Saccharomyces cerevisiae S288C: one gene and its partners. The main gene of each other region encodes a partner of the protein of the gene in region 3 in a complex. Each region holds a gene or a part of one and is shown on either strand. Other genes may lie near its edges. The genes, in order: CDC45, SLD5, CTF4 and PSF2. A codon is read from its position in the direction of its gene.

What was found.
Region 1: the proteins of CTF4 (region 3) and CDC45 are in contact, whole or in part, in a cryo-EM structure (PDB 6PTO), measured with the Saccharomyces cerevisiae proteins. Residues at the interface, in NP_015461.1 of Saccharomyces cerevisiae: Thr489 (codon at 2,402), Arg491 (codon at 2,396), Val505 (codon at 2,354), Asn507 (codon at 2,348), Gln510 (codon at 2,339), Ser512 (codon at 2,333), Thr514 (codon at 2,327), Ser516 (codon at 2,321), Arg524 (codon at 2,297), Glu525 (codon at 2,294), Tyr526 (codon at 2,291), His527 (codon at 2,288), Phe528 (codon at 2,285), Glu529 (codon at 2,282), Ser561 (codon at 2,186), Phe766 (codon at 1,571), Pro767 (codon at 1,568); in NP_013204.1 of Saccharomyces cerevisiae: Ser9 (codon at 3,157), Gln52 (codon at 3,028), Tyr256 (codon at 2,416), Leu259 (codon at 2,407), Ser260 (codon at 2,404), Ile262 (codon at 2,398), Gly263 (codon at 2,395), Glu264 (codon at 2,392), Thr265 (codon at 2,389), Gln296 (codon at 2,296), Asp297 (codon at 2,293), Glu298 (codon at 2,290), Lys300 (codon at 2,284), Arg301 (codon at 2,281), Leu302 (codon at 2,278), Thr303 (codon at 2,275), Pro304 (codon at 2,272), Ser305 (codon at 2,269), Ser306 (codon at 2,266).
Region 2: the proteins of CTF4 (region 3) and SLD5 are in contact, whole or in part, in a crystal structure (PDB 4C95), measured with the Saccharomyces cerevisiae proteins. Residues at the interface, in NP_015461.1 of Saccharomyces cerevisiae: Lys864 (codon at 1,277), Leu867 (codon at 1,268), Arg868 (codon at 1,265), Ala871 (codon at 1,256), Ser875 (codon at 1,244), Arg893 (codon at 1,190), Ala894 (codon at 1,187), Ala897 (codon at 1,178), Lys900 (codon at 1,169), Ile901 (codon at 1,166), Arg904 (codon at 1,157), Ala905 (codon at 1,154); in NP_010777.3 of Saccharomyces cerevisiae: Ile3 (codon at 2,802), Asn4 (codon at 2,805), Ile5 (codon at 2,808), Asp6 (codon at 2,811), Asp7 (codon at 2,814), Ile8 (codon at 2,817), Leu9 (codon at 2,820), Glu11 (codon at 2,826), Leu12 (codon at 2,829), Asp13 (codon at 2,832), Glu15 (codon at 2,838).
Region 4: the proteins of CTF4 (region 3) and PSF2 are in contact, whole or in part, in a cryo-EM structure (PDB 6PTN), measured with the Saccharomyces cerevisiae proteins. Residues at the interface, in NP_015461.1 of Saccharomyces cerevisiae: Phe517 (codon at 2,318), Phe518 (codon at 2,315), Asp519 (codon at 2,312), Val520 (codon at 2,309), Gly521 (codon at 2,306), Arg522 (codon at 2,303), Leu745 (codon at 1,634), Ala746 (codon at 1,631), Ala748 (codon at 1,625), Asp750 (codon at 1,619), Thr751 (codon at 1,616), Asn753 (codon at 1,610), Cys754 (codon at 1,607), Leu756 (codon at 1,601), Leu768 (codon at 1,565), Pro769 (codon at 1,562), Leu770 (codon at 1,559), Pro771 (codon at 1,556), Ser772 (codon at 1,553), Glu773 (codon at 1,550), Tyr848 (codon at 1,325); in NP_012463.1 of Saccharomyces cerevisiae: Phe28 (codon at 1,687), Arg30 (codon at 1,681), Val64 (codon at 1,579), Ala65 (codon at 1,576), Met66 (codon at 1,573), Arg67 (codon at 1,570), Ser68 (codon at 1,567), Ser83 (codon at 1,522), Lys84 (codon at 1,519), Ile87 (codon at 1,510), Asp132 (codon at 1,375), Asp133 (codon at 1,372), Phe134 (codon at 1,369), His135 (codon at 1,366).

The regions. Positions count from the first base shown.
Region 1 is NC_001144.5:342,761-349,016, forward strand, and holds CDC45 (DNA replication initiation factor CDC45), read right to left. Parts: upstream 3,182-6,256; coding exon 1,229-3,181; downstream 1-1,228. Other genes in the region: ERG27 (3-keto-steroid reductase), read left to right, coding at 1-93; APC9 (anaphase promoting complex subunit 9), read right to left, coding at 210-1,007; LCL2 (Lcl2p), read left to right, coding at 3,825-4,220; tRNA splicing endonuclease subunit SEN2, read right to left, coding at 4,287-5,420; REA1 (AAA family ATPase midasin), read right to left, coding at 6,246-6,256. UniProt on the Saccharomyces cerevisiae protein: Required for initiation of chromosomal DNA replication. Acts at the origin of replication. Also has a role in minichromosome maintenance.
Region 2 is NC_001136.10:1,428,217-1,433,360, forward strand, and holds SLD5 (DNA replication protein SLD5), read left to right. Parts: upstream 1-2,795; coding exon 2,796-3,680; downstream 3,681-5,144. Other genes in the region: 3,4-dihydroxy-2-butanone-4-phosphate synthase RIB3, read right to left, coding at 138-764; PAC11 (dynein intermediate chain), read right to left, coding at 972-2,573; serine/threonine protein kinase PKH1, read right to left, coding at 3,752-5,144. UniProt on the Saccharomyces cerevisiae protein: Required for DNA replication. Functions as part of the GINS complex which plays an essential role in the initiation of DNA replication by binding to DNA replication origins and facilitating the assembly of the DNA replication machinery.
Region 3 is NC_001148.4:795,979-803,099, reverse strand, and holds CTF4 (chromatin-binding protein CTF4), read right to left. Parts: upstream 3,867-7,121; coding exon 1,083-3,866; downstream 1-1,082. Other genes in the region: ribosomal RNA-processing protein RRP9, read right to left, coding at 1-741; MSS18 (Mss18p), read right to left, coding at 4,243-5,049; TOM5 (Tom5p), read right to left, coding at 5,391-5,543; transcription factor SPN1, read left to right, coding at 5,890-7,121. UniProt on the Saccharomyces cerevisiae protein: Accessory factor for DNA replication. It plays a role in accurately duplicating the genome in vivo.
Region 4 is NC_001142.9:304,095-308,878, forward strand, and holds PSF2 (DNA replication protein PSF2), read right to left. Parts: upstream 1,769-4,784; coding exon 1,127-1,768; downstream 1-1,126. Other genes in the region: JEM1 (Jem1p), read left to right, coding at 1-1,024; ARG2 (acetyl-CoA:L-glutamate N-acetyltransferase), read left to right, coding at 2,038-3,762; YJL070C (metallo-dependent hydrolase superfamily protein), read right to left, coding at 3,877-4,784. UniProt on the Saccharomyces cerevisiae protein: Functions as part of the GINS complex which plays an essential role in the initiation of DNA replication by binding to DNA replication origins and facilitating the assembly of the DNA replication machinery.

The DNA of each region.
Region 1 (6,256 bases), on a different chromosome or scaffold from region 3:
ATGTCTGATGTCTTCGCTTATATACAGAAGAAGAAACTGGAATGGGACGAGAAACTGAAAGATCAAATTGTTGAAACTAGAACCCCCATTTAATATATCTCTGCGTACATATGTATATATATATATGTGTGTATATACATGTATGTCTGTATAGAAAACGCATATCAACTGATATATATACACGTGAAGCAAAAAAGGCATTGCCTCTGTCAGAGAAACGAACTATCCTCGTTGCTATAGTGTCTTCTGCACTTATCGCGTAGACTTTCTATTGGCACTCTGTCATGGCATTTAATCTTGTACACATTCTTTAATTCTTCTTGCAAAAGAAGGTACTCTTCATGCAAATGATGACTTTGGAGTGAATTGACTAATCCTGAGTCGTTCCAGAAACTTTTTAAGGCGTTCGTTTCATGATTTATTATGTCATCCAACCGTCTCATATTAGGTTTCGAATTTGTTACAAATTCTCGCCTTGATAACCTCTCCAGGTCTTCTTTGTTGCATCCAGGTACACTCTCTAACAACATTGAACCATTGCCCTCCGGATTCGCACTGTCATATTTATTAGCCTCTTCGCCGCACATGATGTCAATATCGGGTCGATAGCTGTCTATGCCGTCTAGATGGCCCACCTTATGAAACACAAGACAATGTGCTGCCCTTTCGGCTTTCAAAAAACTGTCAATTCTACTTTCCCTTAGCGTATTGCGCTCACAAAACGGTGAATAATCGTATTGCTTTTCTTCCTCGATGTGGCTCAAAGTATTCAGATAGTCGACTTCGTCTACGTCCATATTTATCCCATAGAGATCATCTGCAGTCCTCTCCTCTAGTACTTCGCCTGTTATGGGCATCGAATCATCATTTATTACCCTTGTCGACCTTTTCCGTAGCGGTGTGGTAAAATTGTTAAAGTTGGCTTTGTTGAACCTTGGTGTTTTCCAGGGCGGCAATGACGGTAGTTGAAACAACTTGCCTTCGTTCTTATCACCATTTTGGTTCATCTTACTTTGTCACAGCTATTTCTTTCCTTCCTGAATTTGTCCTTCCAAACCTAGTTCCCTGTTCTTAATTTCCTTTTATTTAGGTTTTTTTTTTTGTTTTGTCAAGAGCCGCGCACAAAATATGGTATTATTATAGAAAAGTTGGACTTAAAAGCTTGAAAAAGCTTAGATTTTATATTCATATGCTGGTATATATGTACGACTAAATAATATAAATTTGATTATAACAATCCACTCAAGGTCAGCTTCTCCAGGAATGGTGAAAGATCTTCACGACGTATTTCAATTATGGAACTTTCAAAATTATCTATTCTCACTTTAGCATCCGTTTCTGCAGTTATTTGTTGAAACGCCATGCTGAAATTATTCAAAATAGGTTTTTTTGTGTGTATCGTGTCTAGTCCGCGAGGATACCTAGGTGTTAACCCAGCAACCAAGTAAGTGTCCGTATTTTCATCTATGCTGGCAAGCACCATGGGCAACAATTGCTTGTCTTCAGATTCCGCACAGCATTCTATGAGCCAATTTCCTAATCTTAATAACGTCAATGGGTTTCTGTACAAGTCTAAATCGGGTCCGTCTTGTAAGACGCATAATCTATAAATTCTTAAATGCTTGATTAATTTCTTCTCCAATATAGCAACCCCGGTATTAAAAATTGCTCTCTGTAAGTCTTGTGCTAGTTGAATGCCACGGTTTAATAGTTCCACCTTTCTGTCATCTAGAGCATCCCAACTGAGCCAAAAATTCGAAACCCATCTTTTTCTCAAATTCGTCAATTTTTGAGCGCTGTTATCTTCTTCTTCCTCTCCATCTGTATCGTCATTATTGTCATTATTTATTTTCACACTATCCTTATCAGTTGAATTACCTACTTCCAAAAGAGCTGTTAGTGCTTCGACAAATTCACTGGCACTTATGGACCCACGATATCCAAGAGTTCTAACAAACCCATCTCTAATTATATCTTGCAACCCATAACGATCCAAATTTTTGTCAAATATTATCCCAAGTTCTCTCTTAATAGAATGATCCATGTATAACCATGTTTCTTGTGCAGTACTTAATGGTATACCCATTCTAGCAAACATCTTATGCAATCTCTTTTTCCCATTTTCATTCCATAGGGATAGTTTGGCATTGACATAGTTAGAATAATAAAAACTGTCGTACAATGAAGAATGCCTCAGTAAGAAAAGGTAGTAATCCGGTTGGATGTTTAACGTCAATGTATCAGGGGTCTTTACTGAGTTTCTACTGCTTGGTGTGAGACGCTTCACTTCATCTTGCAATAAGGGGTATAATCGATTGTAAACTTGAGCATATGCTATATCTAACGAGGTCGTACCAAGTATATTCAACCACAGGTTTGAAAGATTTGTTTCTCCGATAGCAGACAATAATGAATAGATTTGTGCAGATATCGAGTTAACCACTGTTGTGCCTTGAGAATAGTATTCCTCCAAAACACCTTCATATTCATGGATTTGCTTCTTTCGTTGCTTTCTTTTTGAGAGATCATTCGGTCCTATTGAAGAATTACCTCTTTTATTAGATATTGTCTCATCTTCGTCTTCTTCGTCCTCGTCTGTGACTTCATCGGCATCAGTTGCCTCATCGTCACCCCCATTATTATCGTTCTCGTCACCTGAGAGCTCATCGTCACCACTCTCCTCGTCCAGTTCAAGCAATTTATAGTATGCTTCTTTTTGTTCGCCTAATGTGTCATCCACCGTACCGTCGTCAAAACATTGGATGATTTGTGATCCAAATATATTGTCGAGATTCCACGGTCTATGAGCATCCAACACGTAGATGTCTCTCCTGAAACTTTGTTCCCCCGACTTTTCATCTGTATCGATAACATACTCTTGGGGATCGATTTCTAAGAAAGCCTCCAGATCAATAACGCCTCCAAACCCTACTAATAGCAGACTATTTATATTGTCATCCAATTGAGAATAGTGGCGTCGTAATTCAGAGTACCCAAATATCGGTACTATTTGAGATTGTACCAATTGTTTTTTGAATAATAGTGACAACATCTTCGTCGCACACAGCGCATCGATGTTAAGACAAGAAACGAAAATGACCAATTGACATGATGAATGAGACGATGAATTCCTTAAGATTTTGTTGTAGGCTTCGCTAAACTGGCTGATTCCATAATACATGTGCGAGAGTATATTCTTGTTATTATGTGCCTTCTCTCTAGTGTTTATTGCTACACTTTTATTGCTCTATAGTGCGTTGTATAAAGTAGCCACAATGGATTGTTGGCATTACTACAGCTTCATTATTTACTGAAATTTCTTAAAACGCGTTAGATGATATGTTGAAAAAAAAATACGCGTCGTGAATGAAACTTATTAGGTTTTACGACTAGTTAAAGCAAGAGAGAGAAGATCGAATTGACTAAATGTCTTCACTTTGAATTTATTCTAGTAGGATTCGCATGGCTTTTTCATAATAAAAATCTCGTTTATTTATGCTTTTGGTTGGTTTTCCTTTGATAAATGCGGCCCTTGCTTTGTTTGTGGTTGCAACGAGTTCGTCAAATGATAAATTGACGCTTAACACAGACGCATGGGAACCACGTAATTGAATTAATGTTTTCTTCTCGAAACAATTGCAATGTGACTTTCTTGTTAGGCAATGTGAGATGAAAGATGGCCTTTACCTTTGCAGATGTTTGGGTGTGGCTCTGAGCTGTCCTTTATAATTATAGAGATAATTTTGATGAAAGCTCAGAAGACCTTTAATGACGAAAAATAGGCATGGTTTGCCAGGCAAAAAACGACCAAATTTTACTGTAGTATGAGTCAAAGTCGCTGGAGTATCGTTCTCATCTTTGCATTGTTTATTTTTGGCAGCACTGGAGTGAATGCCTTCTTCAATTTCGGTCATCATCAGCAACAGCAACAGCAACAGCAACAATCATATGAAGATCAAGTTTTAAATAACCCTTGTGATGGGTATTTGTGTCCGGACACCCTAACGTGCGTTGCACAGCAGAAAGACTGTCCTTGTCCCTTCCCTAAATCTCAGTTGAAATGTGTCCTTCCTGATAATAAATTTGTTTGCATATCCAAACCAGCCACACACAATGAAAAGTTTAGAGCAATATATGATGACCCTGTCAAGGGCCCCAAAGCAAAGAACAAGGGGTTTAGGGATTGTGGATGGGTATCAGATGCTTACAAAAACCATTGAAATCTGTATAAAAAATACATACACATACATATATACATACGAAGGATTTATCTTCTCATTGATATTCTAGTCTCTATTTCTTCCGGGAACCCATCTCTTATACAATACTTCACCAACTTGAAAACTATTGAACAATTTAGTAAAGTTGTTTGATTTCCATAGTGCTATCGCCTCCTGTTCCGAGATTAGTCTCTCCACGTAGCATAACACAAACGTCTTCTTTGCGCCGCCCACAACACGGGCTATGCTAGAATACCACGTATAATCTTTAGAGACGTCGTGGTCAAGACCCATAACACAAAATTCAGCGTGTTGAAATGGTGGCCCTCTCTTATATAATAAATAATCGCAGCCGAATTTTATACCAGATCTTACGCACCAACCGTGTGATCTGTAGTGATGGTATATAACGTATGATCTGACAAAGGAGTGAATATCTTTATATTTGGCATCGAATTGAAACAGTTTCCCTGCCAGGCACGCGGGAGATATGTCAAGAACAGGAAGTGCAAAAGTTAAAAACATAGCTTCCACTGGCATTAGTTCTAGTGACTCTAGTGGCAAAAGATCACCGTTCTCATCAAGAAGATTGTTGTCTTCATCTCTTAAATTTGATTCGGAAATGTCTTGCTGTTGTGCAACGATGCCCACGTCTTCTGTTTGTTTTAGTTTAAATTTTCTTAATGATTCTCGTTGTTTCTCAAGGAGGATGTTTTCCTCATCGATATGACCACCTTTTTTTCTTAATTCTAGTAATTCTCTTTCTAACTTCGCACGTTCTTTCTTGAACTCTAATCTTTGTAATCTCCTCTGTTGTGTGACCTTCTCTAAAGTCATCTCCGTTTCAGTATTACTCTTTGTTCCTCCCCGATTGTGGAGGGGAGTATCATTGAGACCCAGTCTGGCCTCTGTTCTAGCTTTCCATGTAGGCTCACTCCTGCTAAATTGACCAGTGCCAAAAAATCCATTATTCCAAAGATATAGCATTTGCTTGTCATCTTGAACCGTGATGTGAAGAGTGGTATCTCCTATAAAATCTACATGTACTTTATCGTTCAGTGCGTTCGTACTCTTGTAATAGCGGTATGCCCAATATAGCCAAGATAACGGATTATGAAGGATTAACTCTGGAAGGTCATCTACGGGGTGAATTGGAAGAGGATACTTGTAACGCTTCTGATTGACCCTCCCTTTAGACATGCTCCTTCTTGAGTCCTTCGTACTTATTGTCTTTTCAGCGTCGTGTTACAATGAAACGTTTTAGCATATTGAATTTCGATGGAAGTTCAAATGTTTTATGCACCGAAATGAAATACTAGAGCAAAGAGATGTTAGTGAAAGCACCAGCTAATATAGCTCTTTCAAATTTACGTGAAAAAGTTATGTGTGGCAATATAAATCTATAGCAAGAGTGGCTTCTATAAAACATTTTTGACAAGAAATAAAATTCAGATACCGTTGTAGTCTTGAGAAATCATTGTGCTCACATCGATTAACTTCGAGCAACATAAATCATGCTATCATCATTAAAATAAAGTGGAAGTATTAAGAACAGATATAATAGCACGAGAAAAAACTCGTTCAACTAAGTCTAGACACACCTCCTGGTGTTATTTAGTCCGTTCTCTTAACAACCAAAGCCTACGAGCTCTCAAACAGCTCTTTTGTTTTAACTTCCTATAGAACTGAATGGGAAACTTGCATCTTGAAGAAAATTTTTCTCTTTAAATATCTGACTGAAGTATTGATCCCTTCAAAAAAAAAAAAAAAGAGAGTTGGTTACCCATATGGGAATAATATTTCTTAGGGCTAATTGACAAAGGATTGCTAACAGAAAATGCAAAGGACTAATAACTTGAATCATTTTTATATCAGGTTTATATAGGTATACGTTCAGTCTAATTAATAATTTATAGTTTACAGTAGTTTTTTACAGTAGTTTTTTTTTTTTTTTTTCAGTTCCATGATTTTTTTGTTCCTTTGATTCGTGTAGTAAACCTCCTCTTCTTGGTTTTCACGATATACTTAGCTGGATG
Region 2 (5,144 bases), on a different chromosome or scaffold from region 3:
CATATTTTTGTATGGCTGAAAAACATAGAGGAAGAAAAAGGTCAAAAAACAAAAGATATATACAAAGTTACAAATATATACATGTATATATGTGTGAGTCTGTTGTGATAGAATGAATGGAGAAAATGTTCACCAGATTATTTCTTCAAATATTGGGCCAATTCTTCGATGGAGATCAAAGGAATGCCATGTTTCTTACCAAACGCTTGGCAGTCATTTAATCTCATCATAGTTCCTTGTTCGTCATCGTTAACCAATTCGCCAATAACAGCGACGGGACTTAGTCCACTTAGTTTACACAAATCGACACCGGCCTCAGTGTGGCCTCTTCTCTGCAAAACACCGCCATCAGCGGCTCTCAAGGGACAGATGTGCCCTGGTTTTAAAAATGATTTTGGCGTAGAGGAAGAGTCTGCAAGAGCCCTACAAGTCATCGACCTGTCGTGAGCAGAAATACCTGTGGTAGTGCCTTGGGCTACATCTACAGTTATTGTGTATGCAGTTCCATGCCTGTCGTCATCATTGGATTCAAACTTCATGCCTGTTCTCAGTAGTGGAAGGTCCAACTTATCAGCAATGGCATTCGTCATAGGTGCACAGACGTAGCCTGAGGAATGGCGTACAAGAAAGGCCATTTGTTCAGTGCTGACATTTTCAGCAGCGCAAATAAGATCACCTTCATTTTCACGACCGGCATCGTCCATAACAATTACAAACTTATTCTGCTTGAAGTGTTCTATAGCTTGATCAATTGGTGTAAACATTTTCGACGTTGCCTTTTCTTCTTTTCCTTTCCTTTTTTTTAGCCTTCTGCTTTTTGTTGGAGATATTTACATTCACCTCACATATATACGCCAATGAAAATTTCACAATAGCACGTATATTAATAATAGCCTTGCTTTTTTTTATCAATTCTCGCTAAGAAATTACTCATCAGGCAATAACCTATGCTCACCCGCCTCGAAGCGGCGTTAGGAGATAACAGTGGCCGTGTAGAGGGACGTCTTAGCATCGAAAGCCCAATTTACAACAACGAGGCGACCATCTGCACACCACACTTGACACCGTAGAGTGCGACTATTTTCCCCTCCATTGTTTTTTTCGAGCCAGCGTGCACGTAGTACGGGCCCCCCTAACAACAATGGCGCCCCTATGATAGCTTTCCCTGCTCGCGCGTCCCACAGCCGCACCGTCCAGTCCGTGGAACATGATAATAGAAGCATTAGCCGCCGAGCATCGTCCCAATGAAACTCTAACCCGGTTACCCTCGTAGAGTGGTTTTCTGCAGGTTGGAACCCATTGTTGTCCAAAGAGAGGTACAGCGGCCCAGGTTGGTCCCAGAAAACCTTGTATATACCACCGTCTTCGCCACCGATCCAGACGTACTGCGGGTCCTCACTCGTGTACGCCATGCAAGCTATACCTACCTCATCAAACTTTGCCAACCGCTGCAATCGCTCCGTATATGTGCAAGTATCATTCTCCAAAGATAAAAGCTGTGATAGCGGTACAGGACGGAGCTGCTGTGGCTTCCGCAAAACAGTCAAGTCCAGGCAGCTCAACTCCATAATATTGCCATTATCAGCTGCCACAAGTACTCTCTCTTGATCTTGCACGCTGCTTGTTTCAATTACAGCCACCACTGGGTGCTGAAAGTAGTGTCTTGCCACCATATTTCGCTGCACGACATACACTACCGGTGTTTCTGGCTTTTTCTGTTTCAATCTAAGCTCGTACAATATGATCTTGCCCGTCAAGGTCGCCAACAAGATTGATATTACATTGCTTTCCGGATGATACCGACGGAGGATCGTGGCTGTCATGATCCGCGTACCACGGAACTCTACCATATCTATCAAGAGGCCGTTGCGTCCGCTGGCATTATCGCACTTGACTACATTCACCACAGACCACGCCGCTTCGCTGCTAGCATACTGTAGGTCTGCCGGCGGCAATCGTAGATAAACCACAACCAAGACGCCTTTTCCTGGGTCATACTCCTGAGCGATACAATCGCAGTCTGTCTCTGATTGTAAATTCTCACTGACCATGTTCCATTGCATGAGGTTGTCTTTATCCTGTTGCATGTTCGATGGCGCCTGCTGGCCTGACGCAGAAACCTCTGTCTCCAGCCGCGCAAAACTAGCGTTGCTCAGCGTTGCCGCCGCCTCTTCAACAAGAAAAGGTTTGGCTAGTTCTAACCTTGGCTGGTCGTTTTCAGCTTTGTCTTTATTATTTTCGTCGGCAGCAGTAGTTTCAATGGCGACAGCATCAGTAGTGGTGTGATTTTCATTTTCTTGCAGTTGTTCTTCCTCAATTTGATCTGTTTGAATGCCTTTGTCGTATGTTATAACCTCCTTACGTCGAAGATATGCAGATTGGGGCTCTTGAATCTTTGAGCCTTCCTCCATGTCGGTCTGCACTGAAACGCTGACCATGGTTGCCTTAGCGTGCACCTCTGTGGGATGGTGGCCCATCGTCTCGCTCCCAGGGAACAAGCTGGCTTGTTTTCGCCTCTCACGCAGCTCTTTCAATTGTCTCCTTTTTTCCTCCAGTTGCTTCAATCGCTCCATCTTAATGTTTCAATCCTTCTTCCTCTTTGGTTGATTAACCAACTGTGATGCTCTTTTTTCCCTTTTCTCTTTGTTTACGGCAAAACACGAAAACTAGTTCATTTCTTTTTCTTTTCGCCTTGGACTAGTACTGAAAATTTCAATAGCATTATATTTGAGCCATAGGTAAGAAAAACCAAATTTGTTAGTATTGGGAAGGAGAATAAGATACCTGACTCGGTGATGGACATTAACATAGACGATATTCTTGCAGAACTGGATAAGGAAACTACTGCTGTCGACTCTACCAAGATCACGCAAGGTTCTTCTTCCACTACCCACAGAGATGCAAATACAATAGTGGGTTCGTCCTTAGACTTGAATGACAAGACTCAGATATATGTCTCTCCCCAGCAGGATTTTTCTGACTTGATGAAGTCTTGGAAAAATGAACGGTGTTCGCCAGAACTCTTACCATATCCTCATCAGTTGATGAAAAGATTATTGAATCGAATATCCATGCAATCTCAATTAATTGAAAACATTTCAATGGGATTCCTCGATATGCAAAATGCTTCTAATGCGAACCCGCCTATGCCTAACGAATCTAAATTGCCTTTACTCTGCATGGAAACTGAGTTAGAAAGATTGAAATTTGTTATTAGAAGCTACATACGATGTAGGCTAAGCAAAATTGACAAATTCTCACTTTATTTGCGCCAATTAAATGAAGATGAAAATTCGCTGATCTCTCTTACAGATTTACTATCCAAAGATGAAATCAAATACCATGACACGCATTCCCTGATCTGGTTGAAACTAGTCAATGATTCTATCCTGAAATACATGCCCGAAGAACTTCAGGCTATTAATGATACAGAAGGTAGCGTAAACATGATAGATGAGCCCGACTGGAACAAATTTGTCTTTATACACGTTAACGGCCCACCAGATGGTAAATGGAACGAAGATCCGCTATTGCAGGAAAACGAGTTCGGTAAACCTTGCTACACGGTCACAATACCCGATTTAAAGGAAGAGGTTGAACTCACTATTGGAAGTATTTACGTTATGAGATATGAAGTCATTAGGGATCTGCTGAGAGACGACAAAGTTGCTCTTATTTGAACTATTATGCATTACACTTTCCCCTTCACCATGTCTTACATATGCATATATATATATTATCAAGCACAGTTTCATTTTTCATCTGTCCGTGTCATGTTTTTCCGCATTTGTGTCGATCTTGCCAGCAATTTTGAGTAATTAGATGACGATCGGGTCTGCAACGAAGTGGGACGTTTTGTGTGAAGTGCGCCTTCTTCGGGTGTCTTTAAGATGCAACGGTCCGGTAAACCATTTATTAGCCTATTCGATTGAGGTACGGGAGGAGCTTGATTCTTTTTTTTTGTATTCTGTCTTTTTTGAAGAATGAACTTATCAAACATTTTATGGTCCGACTTCGGCGATACTACTTTAGGTTTGGCGGTCATTCCATTATGTATTAATTTCCATAGTTTCATTAAAACTGCTCTCTCTTTGCATCCTATGAAAATCGTCCTGGAACCGTCAATTTCAAGGACTTGATCACTTATAAAGCGTATCTTCTCAACGTCATTCAACTCTAGTTCGAATTGCAATTCAAATTCCTGTTCTTCCCACATGCTGAGACTTCTTCTCTTGACAAAAACAAGTGCTCTGCCTAGGTTTGTTATTAGAAACATTTTCTTGTAAAATTTGCCTGCACTATCAGTAGGAGGCTCGATATCAAGAGGGTTCTTGTAGTCCAGAGCCACGTTCTCAAGACCTACAGGTGAGTCCTCTAAGTTTCGTGTGGAAAGCGCTACCTCCTTCATCAACAAGACACGTTCATCCATATTTTGCAAGTAGCGTGACCAGAAGGCGTCAGAAGAGCGACTTCTATTATCTTTCCCCCGTGATGTAGTAGAAATTGAAGGAGATGATACAGATGCGCGATTTTTTGAAACCTTCTTTTGAATTACCTCGCGATCTGTGTTGTTGGAGGCAGATCTAACAGATGTGCTTGACTTGCTCCCCAATTTGGGTTGACTTGTATAATCTTTATTGAATGCGGCGGTTGCTGCAGTCATACTGATCACAGAATGCTCTTGAGAGGTCGCTGCTGGTGCTTGCAGGGGAGTATCTGCATGTCCATTACCAGCCAGCTGAAGGTTGGCCATTTTGACAGTGGTATCAGATTCAGAAACCTTTTGCAGGGGCTTCATCGCCTCTGCATTTATTTTATATGGCTGTATCTCCGGTGGATTATCATCCCAAACAGAACCATCTTCAAAGTTGACTTCATGGAAAAAGAGGTGTGCTTTGATCTGCTTTATGGTCAATCTATCATTTGGATCCCTAACTAATAGTTTTTTAACTAAATCTTTTACTATTTGCGGAAAACCTGCAGTAAACGCATATTGAATCTTCATTACTTTTTGGAATGTCAAATATTCATTGGCAGCTTTAAAAGGCGGTTTTCCCGCAAGCATTTGGTACAATATGCAACCAAATGCCCAAATGTCACAACGGGAATCTGTATAATTATCATTCAGTAGCTCAGGAGAAACA
Region 3 (7,121 bases):
ATCTGGTGAGGCTGCTACAGTTAAGATTTCGTCATAATGGCCTTCTGTGGTATTCTCATATTCGTGCTTGCTCGTAGGTATATATTTTGCTCCTCCTTTAGCGTATTTTAGCTTCTTTGGTCTTTTGCTAAAGTCAGTAATGTCATATTTGGTGAGTTGTAAGTCTTTGCTAACTGTATAGGCAAATAACCTACCTTTGTTCTTATCGCCATTAGATGATTCCTCGAAGGTGTATTTGTTTAAAACGGGTTGGAAACAACTAATGCAAGTAAGGTTATTTTCCCCTACCCTGGTAAAGCTCTGTTTTGCTTCAGATATTAGAAGTTTATCGCCAAAATATCTGAAGACTCGGCCTTGCTGTTCAGCAACGTCTTCTTTTAACCTGGACGCAATGATATCCTTATCCAAATCTCCAGCATCAAAATTGTTGTACTCGTCGATTGTTCTTTCCTTGAGATTGTTTAAATCTTTTTCTTCAGCGTTCCTATTATCAGTTAAAATGTCATTAGCTTCGCTTTTCAGATTCTCCAGATATTGCTTTGCAAGCCTCCTTCTTTTATCGGCTGGATTTTCACCCTCGAATTCTTCTTCAGATTCCAATGCGTCTTCTTCATCCGAAACTTCTAGTTGTTCATCTTCGTTTGAGGATGGATCTGTGATTTCTTCGTCTACTGTGGGTTTTGATGGATTAACTTCTCCTTTGGATCTTTTCCTCTTTTTCTGTTGGGTAACATCTGACATCTTTTCTAGATTTTCTATAATTTTGAAATGCTAAAGAAGAAATAAAGAACTTTGAATTGATGCTTATTTGAATATTTACGGTACAGGACCAGGTGTTACACTGTTTAATCAAAGCTCATCTATAAAATGTCATCTCTTTTTTTTTTTTTCATATTTTTTCACTTTTTCCTTTCGCGAAAATTCGCAAGGACGCTTCCAGCTCAGATCATGTTCAACGTAACTCTTTATTATCGTCGCATTCAAAGAAATATATGTTAATGTGGGAGCATTTTGAACGATGATTTGAACAAATGAACAGGTATCAAATAATTGTCTCTTGCGTATATATATTTTACATTTTTTTATTTCAATTGCTGTTCATATCTAGCTTCCCTTATATTATTAATTTTTTTAACGAGAGAGGGCAGCTCAGCTCTTTCTGATATCTTAACGGCTGCAGTAAGTGCTCTATCTTGTTTTAATTCATGAGCAAGCGAAAGAGCCTTTTCAACATTTTGGTCTGAGCATGCAGACGCAAATAAACGTAACAAAGCCTTATCATATGCACCGTTCAATGCTGCCAATACCTCATTTTCGTTGCCGTACATTTCACCGTCATTTTCGAGTGTATCTGTCAACAGCTCTGACAAAACCTTGCTGCGCAGATACTCTTCTTCCGCCGCCATAGAAACAGGAATCTGTATTTCTTTGTCTTCTTCCCCTTCTTCCGCTTCGGTGTCAGCTCCAATTTCGTTCTTTTTATTTAATATAGCTTTGTTTTCCTCTAGTAATTTACTCTTAACAAATACTGGCATTCTAATCTCCATTTCGGATGGCAACGGAAGGGGAAACTCGGGCCATATATGCTTGCCCTTAACTAAGATACAATTCAATGTGTCATACGCCAAAGCCAAGGGCCAGACATGTATATCTGTCGTTTCCTTCCCTCCTGACATCTTCCATATTTCCATGTTGCTATCTAGAATAGGGAGCCATTTACTTTCTTCTGGTGATCTCCACTTTGATAACAATAGAAGCGTGTTGTCGGACCCAAAAATGCATGGATCTCCGTAGCTTGAAAAGAACAAACTTTTGATGCCCATCGGATTAAAATTGTAGTAGTCAAGATTTGCGTCTTTTTTCATATCAGAATTAATGTTTGGTAAACTCATTGGAAGTGGACACTCTCTTTTATAGTACCTTTTACTAGAAGTACCCAATTCAGATAAAGAGTATGAAAGGCCATGAAACTGCGAATAATGTACTGAAAAAACCCTATAATTCTGAGCAGTAAGCGCTACAATTGGGGATGTCTTTTCAACAGCAAATGGAACCCCGAATTGATTGAAACTTCTGAAATAGCCTAATGATGTACCAACAATAACGCGAACCGGGGTGGCTGCCACACTTGTTATTCTCTCACCAGCTTGCAAAGGAATAATCTTGGTCCAGTTTGAATGTATGCTATCGTGTGGCCTATATTGTATCTGCCCAGTTTTGGATTGGCCAAATAAAGTGCCTTTTTCATTTAGGAAGCATAAATCGTAGCCAAATAAGTCCTCGAAATGGTATTCTCTAAAACGTCCAACATCAAAAAAAGAGACAGTTATGCTGTATTGCTCACTATTCTTGACAGTAGATACGTAGCCCACTTCATTCATTGTCAAATAACGCCTGTCAGTAAAGCCAAAAGGTGTTCCCGCTGGAGAAAAAGGCATATAACGAAATTTTCCTGTGTTTGCCAAACTGATTGGAAACGAATGAGTCTTGTGTACTCTCGAATAAGAATGTTCATTATGTGGTTTTTTGCCACTAATATAACCAGCACCATCGTCATCATCAATAAAGTCTTCTTCATCTTCGAAGTTGTATTTTCTCTTTTCACTTAATCCACTGGGGCCGTCGTGTGTTTGAGTGAACACATCTTCCGCATTCGCTTCTTGAGTAATATCTGAAAATAGCTTATCGCTTTTGTTTATATCATCATTTCCCTCTAAGTTTTCCAAGTCAGATTCGGAGTCTACAAAAAGCCCATGTTTAGTTGAAGATTCAGCAACAGATTGGTCAGGTATATTAGATACTACGGACTCTGCCAAATTTTGGACAATGGCTATACTACCGGACCAGGTACCTAAAACAAGGTCTAGAGTTTTTGAGTCCGCTTGGATTTTCCAGGCAATATTAGTAATTTTTCTTTTGAATTCCCTGGTGTAGTGGATCTCGGAAGTTTCCCAATTCCATACCGTTAACTTATTATTTAAATCTACTGCCGCAATGTAAGTTCCACGTAACGGGTCAAATTGCAAATCAATGAAATGAGCCTTTGTTGATGAGAGATTTGTGGACAACGTCTTTTGTAGGGAATATCCCTTTATAGAGAATATTTTTACTGTATCATCTGCACATGGTAGCGCAAAATGCAGACCCTTCGGATGCCAAGCCACTCTCGTGCAAATTCTATTAGCAGCACAGAATTCTGGATCAGCTACATTGTTCTCATCTGGATCAGCCGTTTCACTCAGGTCATTATCATTGTCTTTATCTATATCATCCATCATATTCGAGAGTATCTTATCTCTGTGTGTATCATCATATGAATTGGCCACTATGTAATCATTTAACTCATGAACTTTGTTTGGAATAGTAGATGTCAGAGAAAAAATTTGTACCTTACCATTTATCATTGAAACTGCTAAAATATTCATCTGTGAATTGTAAGAAATTTGAGAAACTTGTTCATCGATTTTAATGGCATGTTTTTTGTGTGTTTCATCGTCCAATTCCAAAAGGATTAGTTCTAAGTCGTCTCCTCCAAATACGGCCATTTTACCTGAATGAATAACACAGCAGTCACGTAGGGGTAAAGCAAATCTAGCCAATAATTCTTCTTGACTAGAATCGATGTTATACCTAAGAGCATCACCTTGCATTGTAGTCATCAGAAAGTGCGAGTTTGAATAGCATTTTATAGACGAGACCAATTTGGAAGAATCTAAAGTCTCTGGCTCTTCTTCTGGGTTATTTGTCTTCAGAATCTTGGTTAAGCCATTTTTATTGGCTACACACAAAGTATTATTATCTGGTGCGAGAGAGACCAGAGTTTTCCCACCAAAGTCAAAAACAAGCTTGTCTATAACTGAAACCATAATAGTACGTCTAGTATATTTACGTCACTTCTTGCCCTTCTCAATTATTTTTCCCAAGCTTTCTTATTAATTTAATCTATATGTTCCCATATGTTGGCGTATTCAGGAAACTTTATTACGCGTCGCGTTAAACAGTTAACAATTAATCATTAGTGGAAATTAACGAATCTTAGTGAAAACACCCATTCTCCAGGTGAGATTCTTTCAAGTATCAGGCAAACTACGATTTCACCTAATGAATATCACAAGACGTTTTGAATAATTTTCTGAAGCAATTATGAAACATTATGAAGATATATACGAATATGGATAAGCCTTGTACCTGTGATTTTACACTCAAATTGGACATAAGTAGTACATGAAGAGGATGATTAATTCATCCTTTAACGCGCTTGTTCGAAAATCCTTTGAAACCATGTAATAATATATCCAGATTTTCGGCTGACTTCTCATCAATGTTCATCATCGTCGTTTCGTCGTCTTCTAGACCATTTAACCAAAATTTCATACTCATTGGTAGAGAAGAATATGTGTGGTACAGCGACGGTTCAAAGTGAATTATATTTGGTCCGTATTGGCCGTCTTTCATCCCGACTGATGGTGTAGAATGTTCATCGACCAAAACATCATAATTCCTTCGGCACTGTTCTTCCTCTAACCTGAAAAACTCTTCACTAGATATGTCCACGCCTTCACCTTCTGTAGTGCTAACGTAACGTACCGGCCTCTCAGCAAACAAAAGGTTGCTGTCCCGTTGGAGTTGAAGGAAAGGAGAATCATGCACTTCTACTTTCCCATTCCATCTATCTAGCAGACTTGAATATTTCTGTTCCAGGTTATCATTTTTCTCTTCGTTCGTTTGGACACTAGTCATCGTGGTTAGAGTGGGTTCCTCACCCTTCGTATTCATTATGAGAGCTTTTAAATTAAATAAAACCGTAGCCAGCTTACGAATATCAGATGAAGCCAGTACCAAGTCTAATTTCGGTCTTGTTCTCTGAAATGTGCCATTATTTACTGCGAAAGTCGGCCTTGCATACTTAATATTGGAGAATGTACTCAATTCTGCAGTTATTCGGTTATTCCAATATAGTTCCTTCGGTGGGTATACTGTTTGATAGAATAATTTTAACTCCACAAGTATGCAGTTTTTTCGAAGAAAGTTAACTTCAGGTAAACCCATATGTGCACTGATTTTCTCTTTTCCTTGGTTATGCGTAATAAAGGATTATTTTGTATCGCAACCTTCAATTAAGGTTATCACATTTTAATAATAAAAGCTGGTAAAAAAAGCCGAAAAATCTGCCTGGACAAACATACAGAATACGCATATATACAAGCGAAGAAAGGAGATTTAGGCTCATTAGAGCAGTATCAATTTTTTAAAAAATATTTACACGTCTTTCTCTAAACTATATAAGGTGGGGGGCGCAAATTGACCATTATTTAATCAAAAGCAAATACAAAAAGAGAAACATATTTTAGTGTCATTCATAGATGCAATCTTTTTTCTTCAGTGGGGAATTATTTCCATTGCTTTTTCACCAAATGCCAGATCATTGGGGAAACCCAAAGAAACGCAGCCACATAAGCGGCCTGTTTCAAGGTTTTCTCAGTTTGTTCTTGATGAGCTCTTTTCTCCTCTTCGGAGACTTCCTGTTGAGGTAGACCAAACATTTTATACTATCTAGTTATTTGATGCCAATGGACGCCTTTTGTGGGAAACTGCAATTCGCTAATATTGGTGTAACGCCTCTAGAAAGAAAGAGTAAACTTTCGAATTCATTTCTTGATTTTATGATGTGCGGTATTCTTCCAAAGAAGGGTAACAAGAAGGTTTTTTTCTCTCACAATTTCTTTGAAGGGAAGTTTTGGAAGAGTTAACTGTCAGCTTCATTGCCCAGCATCTTTGTTTGATAGCACTTGTAAAGTATATGCAGGCCATATCAAGGGAGTTTATTGTCCTCTGAAGTATATATAGAGGAACTTTTAGTAATAAAAGGCAAAAACATATCAATTAGCAATGAGTACAGCCGATCAAGAACAACCCAAAGTGGTGGAAGCGACACCAGAAGATGGGACAGCTTCCTCCCAAAAGTCAACTATAAACGCTGAGAATGAAAATACAAAACAAAATCAAAGTATGGAACCCCAAGAAACTTCAAAAGGTACCTCCAATGATACTAAAGACCCAGATAACGGAGAAAAGAACGAGGAAGCCGCAATAGACGAAAATAGTAACGTAGAAGCTGCAGAAAGGAAACGTAAGCACATTAGCACAGATTTCTCAGATGACGACCTAGAAAAGGAGGAGCATAATGATCAGAGTCTTCAACCAACGGTGGAAAATAGGGCTAGTAAAGATAGAGATTCAAGTGCTACTCCAAGTAGTAGACAGGAATTGGAAGAAAAACTGGACCGTATATTGAAAAAACCAAAGGTTAGAAGAACGAGGAGGGATGAAGACGATTTAGAACAGTACTTGGATGAAAAAATTCTAAGGCTTAAAGACGAAATGAATATTGCAGCACAGTTGGACATCGATACTTTAAATAAGAGAATAGAAACTGGAGATACTTCGCTGATTGCCATGCAGAAGGTCAAATTGTTGCCGAAGGTGGTAAGCGTACTGTCAAAGGCAAACTTGGCAGACACCATTTTGGATAATAACTTACTTCAAAGTGTCAGAATATGGTTGGAACCCTTACCTGATGGGTCTCTGCCATCTTTTGAGATTCAAAAGTCACTCTTTGCAGCTTTAAACGATCTACCAGTGAAAACTGAACACCTGAAGGAGAGTGGTTTGGGGAGAGTAGTTATCTTTTATACAAAGTCCAAGCGTGTCGAAGCTCAACTAGCTAGGTTGGCTGAAAAATTAATTGCGGAGTGGACAAGACCTATTATTGGTGCTTCAGATAACTACAGAGATAAGAGAATAATGCAATTAGAGTTTGATTCTGAAAAATTGAGAAAGAAATCCGTTATGGATTCTGCCAAAAATAGGAAAAAGAAATCTAAGTCTGGTGAAGATCCTACCTCTCGTGGTTCTTCGGTACAAACCTTGTACGAACAAGCTGCTGCAAGGAGAAACAGGGCTGCCGCACCAGCACAAACCACTACTGATTACAAGTATGCTCCTGTGAGTAACCTTAGCGCAGTACCTACAAACGCAAGAGCAGTTGGTGTTGGTTCCACTTTAAACAATAGTGAGATGTACAAGAGGTTGACTTCAAGATTAAACAAGAAGCATAAATA
Region 4 (4,784 bases), on a different chromosome or scaffold from region 3:
TAAGAAGCCATTTATTACACCAATGAAAATTCTTAACAAAGATACAAACTTTAAAAACAACTACTTCTTTTTAGAGGAAATTATCAAACAATTGATAGAAGACGTTCAACTGTCGAGACCTTTGGCAAAAAATTTATTCGAAGATCCCCCAATAACCGATGGTTTTGTCAAACCAAAATCATACTATCATACCGATTATCTAGTATACATTGATTCCATTCTTTGTCAGGCTTCTAGCATGAGTCCGGACGTCAAGAGAGCTAAACTGGCTGCGCCGTTCTGTAAAAAGAGTTTGAGGCATTCACTAACACTAGAAACATGGAAACACTATCAGGATGCTAAGTCCGAGCAAAAACCTTTACCTGAGACGGTATTGAGTGATGTATGGAATTCCAATCCTCATTTGCTGATGTATATGGTAAACTCAATACTTAATAAAAGTAGGTCTAAACCTCATTCACAGTTCAAAAAGCAATTATATGACCAGATAAACAAATTTTTCCAAGATAACGGCCTCTCAGAGTCGACCAATCCATACGTGATGAAGAACTTCCGATTATTACAGAAACAATTACAAACCTATAAAGAGCATAAACATCGGAATTTCAACCAGCAATATTTCCAACAACAACAACAGCAGCAACAACACCAACGACATCAAGCACCCCCAGCAGCGCCTAACTACGACCCAAAAAAGGACTATTATAAAATTCTTGGAGTATCGCCTAGTGCTAGTTCGAAAGAAATAAGGAAAGCATATTTAAATTTAACCAAAAAATACCACCCAGACAAAATAAAGGCCAACCATAACGACAAACAAGAATCAATTCACGAAACTATGTCACAAATCAATGAAGCGTACGAAACATTAAGTGATGACGATAAAAGGAAGGAATACGATCTTTCCAGATCAAACCCCCGCCGCAACACTTTTCCTCAGGGGCCTAGGCAAAATAACATGTTCAAAAATCCAGGAAGTGGCTTCCCATTCGGAAATGGCTTTAAAATGAATTTTGGGCTTTGATGAAATACATTCTATGCCCATTAACTAGGATACCACAACAAGTACATATATATACATACGCATATCACTGAAAGTTCTAATTATTGCAAAGCCAGCACTTTTTTAAATATTGAATTCTTCTTCATCATTTTCAGTACCAGCGGTAAGAGATGCTGTGTGAATTTCTCGCAGTTTATCCATGATTTCAGTAATGAACGGCCTCAACTCATTGATTTCTAATAGACTTAAATTATCCAATTGTAAATGAGATTCATTCAAATACTTAAGGCCTTTTAACACTTTGATCTGCCTTATTTCCCTTAAGTCTTGTATTTTACCACGTAATTCGTGAATGGGGTCATGAAAATCATCCTTAGCTTTATTGAAAAGTATACGTGCCAAGACAAGCCAGTTCCACGGCAACTCACTAAACCTATCCGGATGAGTTTTCTCATATTGTATTTTTCTATCAAGCTCTTTCGTCGTTAACCACTGTGGTGCTACAATACTGCACTTGGATTGTTGCTTCAGTAATAGAGCGATCCAAAGAACCACTTCTGTAGAACGCATGGCTACCATATTATTTAAAGCTTTGTCATCTGTAGTAATAAGTTGCCAGCGGGTGTGGTTTCCAGTTCCTCTATCATCGCCACGAATTTTTTGGCGTGTTGTTATTCTGGGAAAAATCTTTATTGGCTCGTTTTCCACAATGAACTGTATTTCTTCTGGTGAGAAAGTCTGCTGCAAATGTGCCGGTAGTGACATGCGTCTATGAAACTAGTCTTATTTCAGATCAGCCGTTGATCCTCTCTAAGTATAAAACTCTTTTTTGTTAACCATTTCATAGTTACACTTTAGGCGACTGATTTTTCATTAAATGGAAAATATCACAAGAAATTTCACGCTGGAGAAAAAAAAGGTTAGTCATCACTGATCTTCCCATGGAGTCATAAGCACGTTCGACATAAATTGTGAAAGTTAACACATTTGAAGCTAGGACCGTCAATCTAGGACACTAGTCGGTTACTTTTATCATGTGGAGGAGAATATTCGCGCATGAACTCAAGTATGATCAACCCAATGCATCTTCAAAAAACTTGATCCTTTCAGTTCTGAATACAACCGCTACAAAACGAGAGGCTAAGGATTATCTCTCAAAATATACAAATGATAGTGGGCAGCATAATCATTGTTTGTTTTTTATCAGGGACCTGCATAAAGTCGCACCAGCGATTTTGTCCCAGTTTTCAAGTGTCATAAAGAGACTAGGAATGCTAGGTTTGCGACCTATGTTTGTAATTCCGCCGTCGCCAACTCATGTAAATATACAGGCAGAGTTACTTGACAGTATCGTTACAGAAGCAGATTTAAAGCCACTTCACCTTAAGGAGGGTCTTACTAAATCCCGCACTGGGTTATATCATTCTGTTTTTTCGCAAGAGAGTCGTTTCTTTGATATTGGAAATTCCAATTTTATACCAATTGTGAAACCTTATGTGTATAATGAAGAGACTGCTTCAGAATTCATGACAAAGGATGTTGTAAAATTTATGGATTGCCTGTGCCAAGGGAATATTCCACACATTGACAAATTCTTCATTCTAAATAATGCCGGAGGTATACCTTCGGGAGAGAGAAATGATAACGCTCATGTATTCATCAATCTTTCTCAGGAACTCGAGCATTTGTCCTCGTCATTATCTCACAATATAAGCACTCTAACCAAACGAGAGCCACGCTCCCAAAACCTGTTACACAGAATGGAGGTGTACGTTAAAAAAGATGAGATATCTTCCTTAGAATGTGAATACCATGATCATTTAGAAAACCTGTTATTGATGGACAAAGTTTTATCAAATCTAGCGGCTACAGCAACGGGACTGATTACAACTGTCAAAGCTGCCGCACTATCATCAGATAGGAAAAATCCTTTAGTATATAATTTATTGACAGACCGATCGCTAATTTCTTCTTCTTTACCAAGGTTTAAAAAAAAGGACGGCGAGATAGACTCACCAGCCAACATGTTTGATGATCACGCATGGTATGAATTGCCTTCCCAACAGGTAAATGCAGCTCCTTCTAACTCAGATGCAGTTTTAGTGACAACTGTTCTCAAAAAGGGCGTCCATATCAAAACTTATGACTATAAGACGCTGACTCAATTCAACTCAATTGGGCTTCCAAAGAAGTTTCACGTACCTGAGAAAGGAGCAAAACCCTCGAGCAATAGTCCAAAACTAGATATCAACAAATTTAAATCCATCATCGATCAGAGCTTTAAAAGATCTTTGGATTTGCATGACTACATAAAAAGGATTAATGGAAAAATAGCTACAATTATTGTGATAGGTGATTATGAAGGCATTGCAATTCTTACCTATGAAGGCTCGGAGGAAAATTCCTTTGTTTATCTCGATAAGTTCGCCGTTCTACCACACTTGAAAGGCTCGCTGGGTATATCTGATATAATCTTCAATTTGATGTTCAAAAAATTTCCTAATGAGATACTTTGGAGAAGCAGAAAAGACAATGTGGTGAACAAGTGGTATTTTCAACGTAGCGTTGCTGTGCTAGATTTGTCGATTGACTTAGACCCCGAACACTGTGATGAAAAGCAAAGCCAATTTAAACTATTTTACTACGGTAACCCTCAATACGCTAAGAGGGCACTACGTGACAAGAAACGTTTAAGAGAATTCATGAGGTCTGTCAGGGACATCAAGCCAAGTTGGGAAAATGAAAAAAATATTTCATGAAACAAAGACGCATTCTCCTCCTCCTTAACTTTCAAGTTTTCATTTTCAGTTTTTAAGGTATCTATATAAATATATATATCTTACTATGCAAAGTTGTTGATATTTCACTTTACCCTACCAAATGGAGTTAATTACTCCAAAGTGATCCCGAACGAAGTTCCACTCTTGATCCAATGTCTCCTTTCTATATCTTCTTCTAATCATCGGAACGTTGTGCTTTATCGAGGTATCTTTCGCTGTATCGTACCAATTATCTATCCCACCCACGTTCTCCTCAAAGTAAGGCGCCTTTTTAACTCCAACGCCAATCCAATGAGCCTTGTACCAACCTTCATAGCCACTAGATAGCACACTTGTTCTCGACAACTCGCACAAATCTGTTGGGTTCAGCAAGTAAATACTTGCTGCTACACTGTATTCTTCAATGAGAGGTTCTAGCGTGTATGAACTATTGTAAAGAATCGATTTTGATGATAAAGAAATTTTTAGTCCCATCTTAAACATTTTCATGAAAGGATTTGTCTCATATGATCTTTGTTCGCCCACAGTGATATCTCTAGAAGGATTGATTTTGGCTGTTTCCTGGTCTTTCAAATAATCATGTTCTAGAAGCACGTTTTTATTCTTCAAAAAGGTCGATTTTTGCGAATTCAGTAATGAAACAGATGATAATGGCGCAGCTAAAATGGGTATTTGAAAGAGATAAAATAAATATTGAATCATTGTTGCAGTATCCCAAAGCGGTTCTACCTGTAGCAGACCACCATTACAAAGCAGTAAGTTGCACACTAACGATTCAACTTGATCTGTAAAATATAAATCCACTCCAAATTGGGAAGTTCTGCTGGATAGTGGAGAACAATAATTTCTTAGGGTGATTGTATTTTGAAGATTTTGTGACCGCAGAAAATTAACTTTCGCTAAACTTTTATAAATATAATACATGTAATGCGCAACAGTTGGATTGTCACCCTGTGCTGTCCAAAATTTTGGCTTACAATTCATATCAGTAAATTCTTTCC